3 linked regions of the Oryzias latipes genome follow. The protein of the gene in region 3 purifies or fractionates together with the protein of the main gene of each other region. This does not show direct contact. Links are inferred from orthologs where the notes say so. Each region holds a gene or a part of one and is shown on either strand. Other genes may lie near its edges.

Region 1 (2,706 bases), on a different chromosome or scaffold from region 3:
TGCCATGTCCTACGATTTCATTGGCTCCTATGAACACCTTGAAACCGATGCAGACTTTGTGTTGCAACTCATCAATGTGCCTTCTTCTGTTCACTTCCCCGAAAGGCAGACGTGGTACAAGCCAGTTACTACAGAGACCTTACACTTTTACCTGTGCAGTTTGCCCCAGAAGCTTCTGAGAGAACTCCTCCCAAAGTATATCTTAGACTTCTCCTTATTCACTTATCCTCTTCCCAACATGACCATGGACCACTGCAGGCATTAAGGAGTGCCTCACCATTTTATAGACAATCATCTGTGTTTGCAGAGGGGTGCAAATTATTGCAATGCTGCTGCAATGCTGTTTGACCAGACTTCAACCCACTAAAGCTTGAAAAGGTTTTAAACCAGCCTTAAAGTATCTGTTACAATAGTTGTTTTATTACACAATGACAGATATGGTCAAAATTGTTTTTGTATTTGTTCATGGGAAGATTTAAAAGTGAAAAAGACTTAGCAGGCAAAAGCACACAGCATGTAATGGAATTGGACCATTTACTGAGCTTCATGGTTTATGTACACCTTTATTTTGTTAATAACTTAACATAATAAAAAAAAAATACAAGTTTTGCCACATAATGCATGTTTTTCTAACATGTAAGAGATAAAAATGTTGGAAATGAAAGGATTTTTCAATAACTCGGAACATCATACTGACAGAACAAGCTGCTTATTCTGAAAGGAAAAAATCTAATTTCAAGCAGTAGTTTCTGCTTATTTCTTTCTAAAATTTGGATGATTTATTGAAGAAAATAGTACGGTAATAATGGGGAGTGCTAGAAGCGATTTCATTCAGCATGCATTTCTGGAAGGATTTGTGTCCAACTCACTTTTCAATACAGAATTTTTCTCTGCTGTCCTTGAAAAAGAGATGGGTAATATCCAGAGTGCATGCAGAAATGAAGGATGTCAGGTCTCTGACACTCAAATTCAGGTTACTTGTCTGCTGACTTGTCAGAAGAGCGCTCAAGAGTTTGGAAGATAGAGTGTTGGGAGGCACCGTGAATGCCGCTGGAGGCTGTGAGGGAAGAGTTGCTGTCCAGGGATGAGAAGGAAAGACCCTGTCTGCGCATCTCCTGAACCACCCTTTCACTGAAAACACACAAATGTTTACATTTAGTCAGTTTTTGCATTTGCAAAAAGCAACATCATTTTTCACCTGCGGAATATTGCTAAGATCAGAAATATACTTTCTAAGAGTGATGCGGAAAAACTCATCCATGCATTTGTTACGTCGAGGCTGGATTACTGTAACTCCTTGTTAGCAGCGTGTCCTAAGAGTTCCTTAAGAAGTCTTCAGCTTGTTCAGAACGCAGCAGCTAGATTGTTAGCTGGAACTAGCAGAAGAGATCACATCACTCCTGTGTTAGTTTCACTTCACTGTTAGCCTATAAGGCCTTACATGGAATGGCCCCGTCCTATATTAAGGACCTCATAGTCCCTTACCACCCAATAAGAACACTTCACTCACTAAATGCAGGACTGCTTGTGGTTCCTAGAATTAGTAAAAGTACGGTTGGAAGTAGAGCATTTAGCCACCAAGCCCCTGTCTTATGGAATAAACTCCCAGCTCATGGAAGAGAGGCCGACTCAGTTTCTACATTCAAAGTTAGACTGAAAACATTCCTCTTTGGACAGGCTTATTGTCAGACTAGTTAGTATTCAGAGATTATTTAACTTAATGTTAATTTGTTTAAATTAAACTTAATAGTAACTATTTCTTTTAAAAGGCTGCTAGAAGTTGAAGCTGGGGTAACTATGGTGCTCTGGGGTTCTGTCCTCTTTTCTCTTCTACTTCTACCCTTCCTCTCTTCTCCATTCTTGATCATTATTCATCATTTAGTTCTCCATGCCTCTGTTTGGTGCAGTGCGATTCATGTATTGTCCCTCTTTTCCTCTCCCCTCCTGGGGAGTGGGAGTGCTTCCAGACTCCTGTTGGCTCATCCGTGCTCCAGTTGCTGACAGTCTACCTCGCCTTTGCTCCTGCTCCTACACCTGGCTGTGGATCCTGTCTCAGGCTCATCTCTGGCTCGTCTCTGCTCTGTACCTGACAGAGTACCTCATCTCTGCTCCTGCTCCTACACCTGGCCGTGGTTCCTGTCTCCGGCTCGACTCGCGCCTTTGACTGTCCCCCCGACCACAGCTGGATGAAGCTCGTCTGCTTGATTTTATATATGTAGTTGTAGATTTAGATAAGTTAATTCTTCTCTAAGAGTTCTGGTAAATCACCTGTCCGTCCTGGGGGAGGATCCCTCCTTCATGTGGACACCCCTGAGGTTTCTTTGTTTTTTCCGGAATCCGTTTTTTTTTGGGAGTTTTTCCTTACCGCGAAGGGGGGTCTAAGGGCAGGGATGCCAGTATAGCTTAGTCAGTTTGTTAGTTCATTTTAGTATTTTCCTATTGAACTCTTTGTATTCGTGATCCTTTTGAGTTCATGTTTCACTTCGAAGCCCATCGAGACGACTGTTGTTGTGATTTTGGGCTATACAAATAAAATTGAATTGAATTGAATTGAAAATTGAACATCAGTAAATGCACTCTAAAAATACTTTAAGTTCCAGTTTTAAATAAGTACGCAAGTACTGAAAATGGACTTTATTAACCTCATTCACAACATCCAACTGTTAAACATAAACTGGGCTGGGGTCTGGCGGGCCTGGTGCTGTG
Region 2 (3,759 bases), on a different chromosome or scaffold from region 3:
TCACTTGATCAATGTTGCAAAAAAAGTACTTACTTCTGAGGAGATCTGCTCGCCACTTCTGCTTTAAGTCTCATGTTCTCTTGGACAAGGTCTACATTTTGAGAACGCAGGATCTTATTTGCCTAAAGGAAACAGAGAAAGTCTCAAATAAAAATAAGATATCGTACGCTTCTGTTAAAACTTAAGAAATGCATGCAGTTACCCTTCCAACTATTAACTTTACTTGTATTTCTATATATAGAATTATAAGACCTGTAAATACACGACATATGCACAAGCTTTATCAACATCTGTCAGTAAATACAGAACATGTGTTTAGTTGTGTGTACCTCTTTCAGTTTGTCCATGTCCTGCTTTATTTGATCACAAACATCTGTGGCTGCTTGCAGCTTGTTCTTCCATTCCTCTACAACAAAGTGAGGGACCCTCTTTTCATCTGCTTCCACTGCATTTATGCTGGTAGGAAGCAATGCGGTCTTCAGCTGGGTTTCCAGATTTTGAGTTTTGACTTTCAGCTCCTCGTTTTCTCTCATAAGCCCTTCGATCTCTTCCTGACGTGGAAAGGTTTTGTGAAAAACAAGGGTCAGGAGAAAAACCAAATTAAAAAAACAAATAAACATGAAATTCAATCCAAGTTTAATCATAATCTTGTTATGTGAAAGATAGAAAAAGTGAATTACAGTGGTCCTTGCTTAATTGCAGTTCACCTTTTGTGGCTCACTGTTTTGCAGACTTGTTTTTGTGCAGCTTTAGATGGTTTTCTTTTTTTTTTTTAAACACTGTGTTCTGCATGGTAATAGGCTGAAGATCTTGTCAATCAATCTCCTTTATGCCATGTCTCCTGTACAAGAAGCAGGCAGCTCTGCAAAGCCAGTTCTCCAAAAGATTTTTGTTTTTGTTCCATAATACTGAACTTATTTTTCTATGAAGCTAGGAACTTTGAGAAAAAAAGTGTTAAAATATTAATGTCCGTCTTTGTGGATTTCACTTTTTGCAGATAAACAAGAGAACACTATTTAAACTTCTGCTTTTCAGTCACTATTATTGGTAAATAAGCTGGTTAAAAGATGATATTATTTAACAAACAAGTATAGATTGGTTATGTTATTTTTTAATATAAAAAATTTAACTTAACATAACATAGTTTTACAAATTTAACATAAAATAACACAACATAACAAATAATTCTTCAAAATGTCTTAAAATGTATGTTAATTCCGTGGGAGACCATTTTCCTTTTAGTCTCACAGTAGGAATATGTCAACACGTTCTACACTAAATAAAGCGGATATAACCAAAAATAACCAACAAATTGAAAGGACTTGGAGTAGTGAACCATTGTAATATTTGTAGTGCCAATATAGTGAAACAGTTTGATTAGAGTCCAAATAAATTCTAATAAAAGCTTTGATTGATACTTAGCAGTAATTGTTCAAATTTGACTGAACAGTGCTGACTGGATTTTAATAGTAGTCGTGTAAACTCCCCTCAAACCCTTTAACCTGTTAATTTTGTAGCTAACCCTCTACACACATACTCACGGGTTCCCAGTTAAGCAGAATTAACTAGTAATTTAAAATATCAGAAAGCATCCTGAATGCAGCCGTACCTCATACTCCCGTAAAAGCAGCTCTCCTCTGGTTTTACGGAGACATTTTCTCATGGATGTGTTGTCACTGTGATCGCCTTCATTCGTCCCCCCTGTAGCAGAATGACAAAAAGATTATATTTCCAAAAATATACACATGATACTAGTAGTTTTCCAAGTAGATACTGAATATACGTTCTGGTGCCAAAATATCAAAAACTGAATCTAGCTACCATATTTAAGAAATGATATATAAGCAGATCAAAAGTTGATAAATTAACATTAAAGTAATTCAAACAAATGTTCTATCTAACAGACTGTTGTAACCTTATTTCTGGAACAAACCTTTAACTCAAAGCAAAGAAAACAACATGAGTGACATTATCATATCCTCATTTATTAGTTACTTGCCTACATTTAAAAAGAAACATGAAAATATATAGTTTATAAGGGGAATGCATGGAGAAACAGTTCAGCACCTCTAATGTGTCAACAAAAACATTGTGGGACTTGCAAATGATAGAACTGTATTGAGCTAATCCTTTATTTTCTGTACAGGAGTGTTAAGTTTATGTAGATTTAATTAAGTATTTTCTTAACAATGCAGACAGTGCATCCTCTACTGATCTTTTTTTTTTTTGGGGGGGGGGGGGGGGGGGGGCCCCCCCCTCGTTTGTAGCGGTACTCACCGATGATCTCTCTGCACGGACTCTCTGCTGTGATGGGCACTCTGCAGGTGGGACACTGGCCGGCTTTCTTTAACCACACTTCCATGCAGGACGAACAGAACACGTGGTAGTTGGCACAAATGACCGGCTGCCTGACCTGCACGGAGACGAGTATCAGACAATTATTTTTTGACAAAAAAATAAAAATACAAATAGACGCTTTCCTTTGGTGATCCGAGTTGCAGCTGGGTGACTAGCGCGCCGCTAGTGCAGTCACCGCCAGACAACGCAGGAGAAGTTTTACTTCCTCTATTCCCGGCTAATGTCGAAATGTAGATGCTGCTTACCTTTCCGAGGCAAATTTGACAGGAAATGGGCAAAGTTAGAGACAGAGTCGATGCCTGATAATTGAGCGCCATCGCTTGTTGTCAAGACACGACACAGTTCCCGCGGGGAGGTACAAGTTTCCCACCAGGAACTAACCGTCGGTCTGCGCGCGCGTCATGAGCTACGGAACTCTTTGAGGGACAAAAAGGGTTGATTTTAGTACGGACAGGGTCATGTTTATTTTCTATTTCTTTTAAATATATTTGGTAGTTTTCTTTTTCATGAGAACTTTTACCTAGAAGTGAACAAAATAGGAATCTTTTTTATGGACTTTTTGACCCTGCCTCTTTGAAAGCAATTTTACTCTGCCTAGTTCTCCAGTGGTTATACTTATAGCAAAAAAAACTTCCACAGTAGTGGCCTTTTTGGTTATTTTTTTAATGAGTTGAAGATGTATTTACATTCAGTTAGTTTAGCTGCTAATGTGGTGAAAAGCTTGGAAATGTGTGAATGCACTTCACCAATAATGTTCCCCATTGGATGATTGAGAATGGAGAATGGGTGGGATGAGCTCATTTACCAGAACTATTCCGCCCACTTCAACAAATGGATCTTTTGTTGTGTTCACTAATGGGTTTACTCATATGTCAATCAAAAACATGTACACATGTCAGTCATCACAGAATCAAAATAGCTGTGGTTGTGCCCCCCCCCCACACACACACAAACACACACAGCCTAAATGGAAAGTCAATCACTAACAATTTCATAGACTTTTAAAACAAGATTATCTACATGTTTTCTCGGAGTATGACTTTTTAACATATAGGAGATAATGGTAAATGCTTCCTTCTCCCAACTAGTCCATGGCTTCTTTTTAGGAGCTCCAAGGTTTGGTACCTCCTGGTGGCTTAAAATTAAAACAAAAAACAGAGAAATAAAAAAAAACATATTTTGGAATAAAAAATAAGTAACTTTTTCGAGTTTGCCTGGAGACGCTGCATGTTAGGTCCGAAATACTAAGTCATCATAGGAAAAAAAAAACTGTTCAGAAGTGTCCTAATTTCAACTTTGCTGCTGGTTTTATAAATTTTAAAACATTTGGAATCTGTTGTGTGGATTTTAAACCTGTTTTTGGTAATTTCTAGAAGGTTTCCTACATGTATGCTTATTTTA
Region 3 (3,659 bases):
TATTTGCAGGTGGTTCATTTATTAGTCTAAAGTACTTACAGCTTTTGTGTTATCAATGATAGCAGGATGCTCAAACTGTGCAATTTTTTTCCATGTGATATGATTGAGGATGCGGACCTGAAATGGAAGAATGAAACTCTGAAGATTGAACTACATACGGAAAACTTTTTTTTAAGGCTGTCCATACTTTTTCATCAAAGCTGCCAATGGCCAGGAACTGGCTGCTGGGGCTCCACGACACGGACTTGATACCCAGCGACCACTCATAGGCACTGTAGGTTGACAGCAGCCGGCCATCCAACGAGTAAAGCGACATCTTGTACTGCAGACAGGACAAGCACTTTAAACAATAAAAACAGCACTCTTCTAACCTTCTTTGGGCAGCCCATCTATCCAACCTGGGTATCACTCATAACATTTATAGTAAAGTGGGAGTATGTCTTTCCCTCTAAAATGATTCTGAGCATCTTCATACATGGTCCAAGAATCGATGCATAAAAGATACAATTAACTTTATGGTGATACGATACAGGCCAGTTCTTTTACGTAAATGAATACAATCTAGATATACATCATTCGTTTAGGCATTTAATACTATAAATGAAAATACCTCAACATAGAAATTCTGTTTTTTTGTGACAATGGTATTGTCGTAGGCTAAGTTGACACTACCATCCGGTTTCAGGTCTGACTCCTCCCCCAAGAGCGCATATATACCAGCTCTTTTACCAGCTAATTCAGAATTGACAAAGCCTTTTGGATAAGAGGTGAAACGTCTTCTAACATTAAAAACTAAGTCCAGATGAAAGCCCCTAAACCTACTACTATGACTATGTAGCTTATTATAACGCTGTCCCACACTCAAAGGGTTTGCTGTAGCCTCAAAAGGACCAACCCATATAGGAATCCAGACATTCCTTACACACAATGTAATATTAAAAGTAACAAGTTACTATAACTTAAGGGGTTAACCGGTACAGGTGAAATTAAAAAGCTCACCTCCAGACAGCTCTCCCACACGGCCAGCACACAGCCGTTGGGAGACCACTCCAATCCAGAAAGGTCCTGAGTTTCAGTCTCAAAATGCTGTAATCAAAGTGTGGATTCATGTTTACATTCATTAACTGACACCCCAAAACCCATATGTTACATTACTTAAAATTCTATACCAACAAGATAATTAAAACTGATCCAACATCTACAGATGCAGCCAAATTGGAATTACAGCAATAGTGTAACTCGGTTTTTATTTTTTGGTTTTTTCTCTTAGCTGTTTGTCCCATCTGTAATAAAATGAGTGTTAGAATAAAAAATAATAAGTCTTTAGGTCCTGAAGGTCCTGATTTACACTTGTTAAAATGTTAATATTTTAGATCCATAATTTTCCATATTATAGTTTATTTTTAGCTCCCTGTTTGATATCTTAAGAATCAACATTTGTTTTTTCCCCAAAGCTTAGTCGTAACTTTGTCATTTGAACTGCTGCTGGCAGTAACAATAAAGTCTATTCTATTCTAATTGACAACTATTCAACATAGAGGAAAAAAACAGTGTCATGATTTATCCCTGTTAACATTTCATTTAGAAAACAGCTTTTGTTAAAACACTGAGATTTGATAGAAAGCAGAACCCTTCTTACCCTGAGTAAATGCCAGTCGTCACAAACAAATATACTGACGTAGTCTTTGCAGTCACGACGCTCAGCCAGAGCCATATAGCATCCATCTCTGCTGAAGTCTAAACCTGTAAGAATCCCGGAATTTTAAGGTGACAACGCAGACAAAAGCAGTTTAACCCAAATCCATCAATCCAAACATAAAAGGTTTTCTTGGAATCAGAAGGATCTCATAACAGCATCGTTTAAAAAAGGCTGAAAGTTTTACTTTTATGTCTTAAAGGAGGAAACTAAAAGGTTTTACTCTTATTTAAACCTCTATAATCCGATGGAACAACAGATTCACACATTGGAACCATTTCAAAGCAATTCCGAAAACATTTTAAAACCATGTAACTTTACAAAGAAGCAACAAAAATATAATTTTTCAATTTTATTAAGGATGGGGAAAAATGTCTGAAAGGACAGTTTTTAGTTTAACAGAACTTCAGATCACAAAATCCTTTTAAAACAATGTCTTGGCTAATAGCTGCTCAATAGATGTGAAGCCATAGTGACATGCACCACTCGTGGGGGGGGGGGACCCGTACGGATGCTGCGGCTTTGCCTTGGCCCGTGGAGGGTCATAGACAGGAGCGACCTCATCTTAAAGGGAGTGCAGGGGTGTCCCACAGTTTCCCCCAGGTTTGTGCGGCCACCTTAAGGGACGCTATAAAAATGGAACGCACTATTGTTGTACGTGTGATAAGTGTGTCCTGAAGTATTTGTACAGATAATGTAAGCCATGTTGTGTAGGCCACCTACATGCCCTGTACAGGTTTGCTCATTACTCGCCTCCAGACAGCCTGTATCCACCTGTAAGGGCAGTTGTGACTAAGCCCTAACGGCGTGTGGAGGTAAACTGAATGACATTCAGACAAAACTCTGAATTTATGCACACCAAATGACAGAATTATGTTAACATTTCAAAGACACTAAAGATATAAATAAAATAGTGGAATCTTTCTGCACTTTCTTTTCTGAAAAATACTGTATACTACTAATTAATAACCTAATCATCGATAACAAGCTATCAAGCTGACTCACAGGCTTGTTCCAACTGTTGCTGTCTTAACACCACCAGTTTCAATTGACAGTATTGTTCTGGGGATTTACTTTGGGAATGGGACAGACTCTTTACCTTGCTTCTGTGTCTGTTTCCTGCCTGGCTTATCTGTCTGGTGGAAGTGAAGTATATTTTTAGAGGAGCTTAGTGCCAATTTTCAAACACTTCCTAAACCAGCCGCAGCCTGTCTAATAGTATCACACACATTTTCTTTGGTAGCAAGCATCAGCTCCAGCAGCCGCTGGTGGAACGCAACACATTCCTCTCTGGTGGAATCCACAATGGGGGGAATTCACATCACAATATGGGGCTGTAACAGCTGGCAATAACATTAATGTAGAGCTTTACAGGGTTGGTGGGTCTATTAGCAGACGCAGTCAGCACATTATCAAATCACAAATCTAAACCTCTCCCTTTAGGAAAAACCTTAAACAGCATCACAAATGGGAACAGCTCTCACTGCGCCAGAGTCACCATTAAAAAACAAGCAAACACTGGGCTGAGGACAATTTGCAAGTTTCTGTTAAGTAAAAGCTGTTTTATTTAATTTGGAATATTTTAGGTATATAAAATGTATATATATCTTAAGTACAATAAAAAGGGATTAGAGCATAACCTCATGCTATCCTAAAAAGGAAATTACAAGACTCTTTGACATCATTATTAAAGCATCATGGTTCTATTTTGTCAACTCTTATGATACGTGGATCTTAAAGTGACCTTGTATTGTACTTTGGAAAATGGGAGAGACAGGAACAATCGTATTTCTACAAGTCGCTGACAGGCCTGTTATGAAGAGCATGCCCCATTTACTGAGGAGGGGGACAGCTGTCAGCGGAGAGGGCTACACTTTGGATACATATCCGGGGTTGTGTCACAATGCAAAGAAAAAAAGGCGCCCTGTGATTAATGGGGTATGCCTGTGCTGGTCCTGTCCTC

The links.
Region 1: the proteins of wrap73 (region 3) and cep135 purify together in Homo sapiens (co-immunoprecipitation; 6 studies listed by BioGRID and IntAct, counting the BioPlex papers as one, with this or other methods). This does not show direct contact. The link is inferred for Oryzias latipes from reciprocal best matches to the Homo sapiens genes WRAP73 and CEP135.
Region 2: the proteins of wrap73 (region 3) and rnf219 purify together in Homo sapiens (affinity purification with mass spectrometry; 3 studies listed by BioGRID and IntAct, counting the BioPlex papers as one, with this or other methods). This does not show direct contact. The link is inferred for Oryzias latipes from reciprocal best matches to the Homo sapiens genes WRAP73 and OBI1.

Annotation. Positions count from the first base shown.
Region 1 is NC_019862.2:39,718-42,423, forward strand, and holds the end of cep135 (centrosomal protein of 135 kDa), read right to left. Parts: intron 1,132-2,706; coding exon 975-1,131; 3' UTR 548-974; downstream 1-547. Other genes in the region: chst14 (carbohydrate sulfotransferase 14), read left to right, coding at 1-265. UniProt on the Homo sapiens protein: Centrosomal microtubule-binding protein involved in centriole biogenesis. Acts as a scaffolding protein during early centriole biogenesis.
Region 2 is NC_019861.2:14,864,391-14,868,149, reverse strand, and holds the start of rnf219 (RING finger protein 219), read right to left. Parts: upstream 2,782-3,759; 5' UTR 2,676-2,781; coding exon 2,604-2,675; intron 2,414-2,603; coding exon 2,278-2,413; intron 1,702-2,277; coding exon 1,610-1,701; intron 552-1,609; coding exon 330-551; intron 123-329; coding exon 34-122; intron 1-33. UniProt on the Homo sapiens protein: E3 ubiquitin ligase essential for DNA replication origin activation during S phase.
Region 3 is NC_019865.2:8,170,468-8,174,126, reverse strand, and holds part of wrap73 (WD repeat-containing protein WRAP73), read right to left. Parts: intron 1,744-3,659; coding exon 1,640-1,743; intron 1,087-1,639; coding exon 1,000-1,086; intron 323-999; coding exon 188-322; intron 118-187; coding exon 40-117; intron 1-39.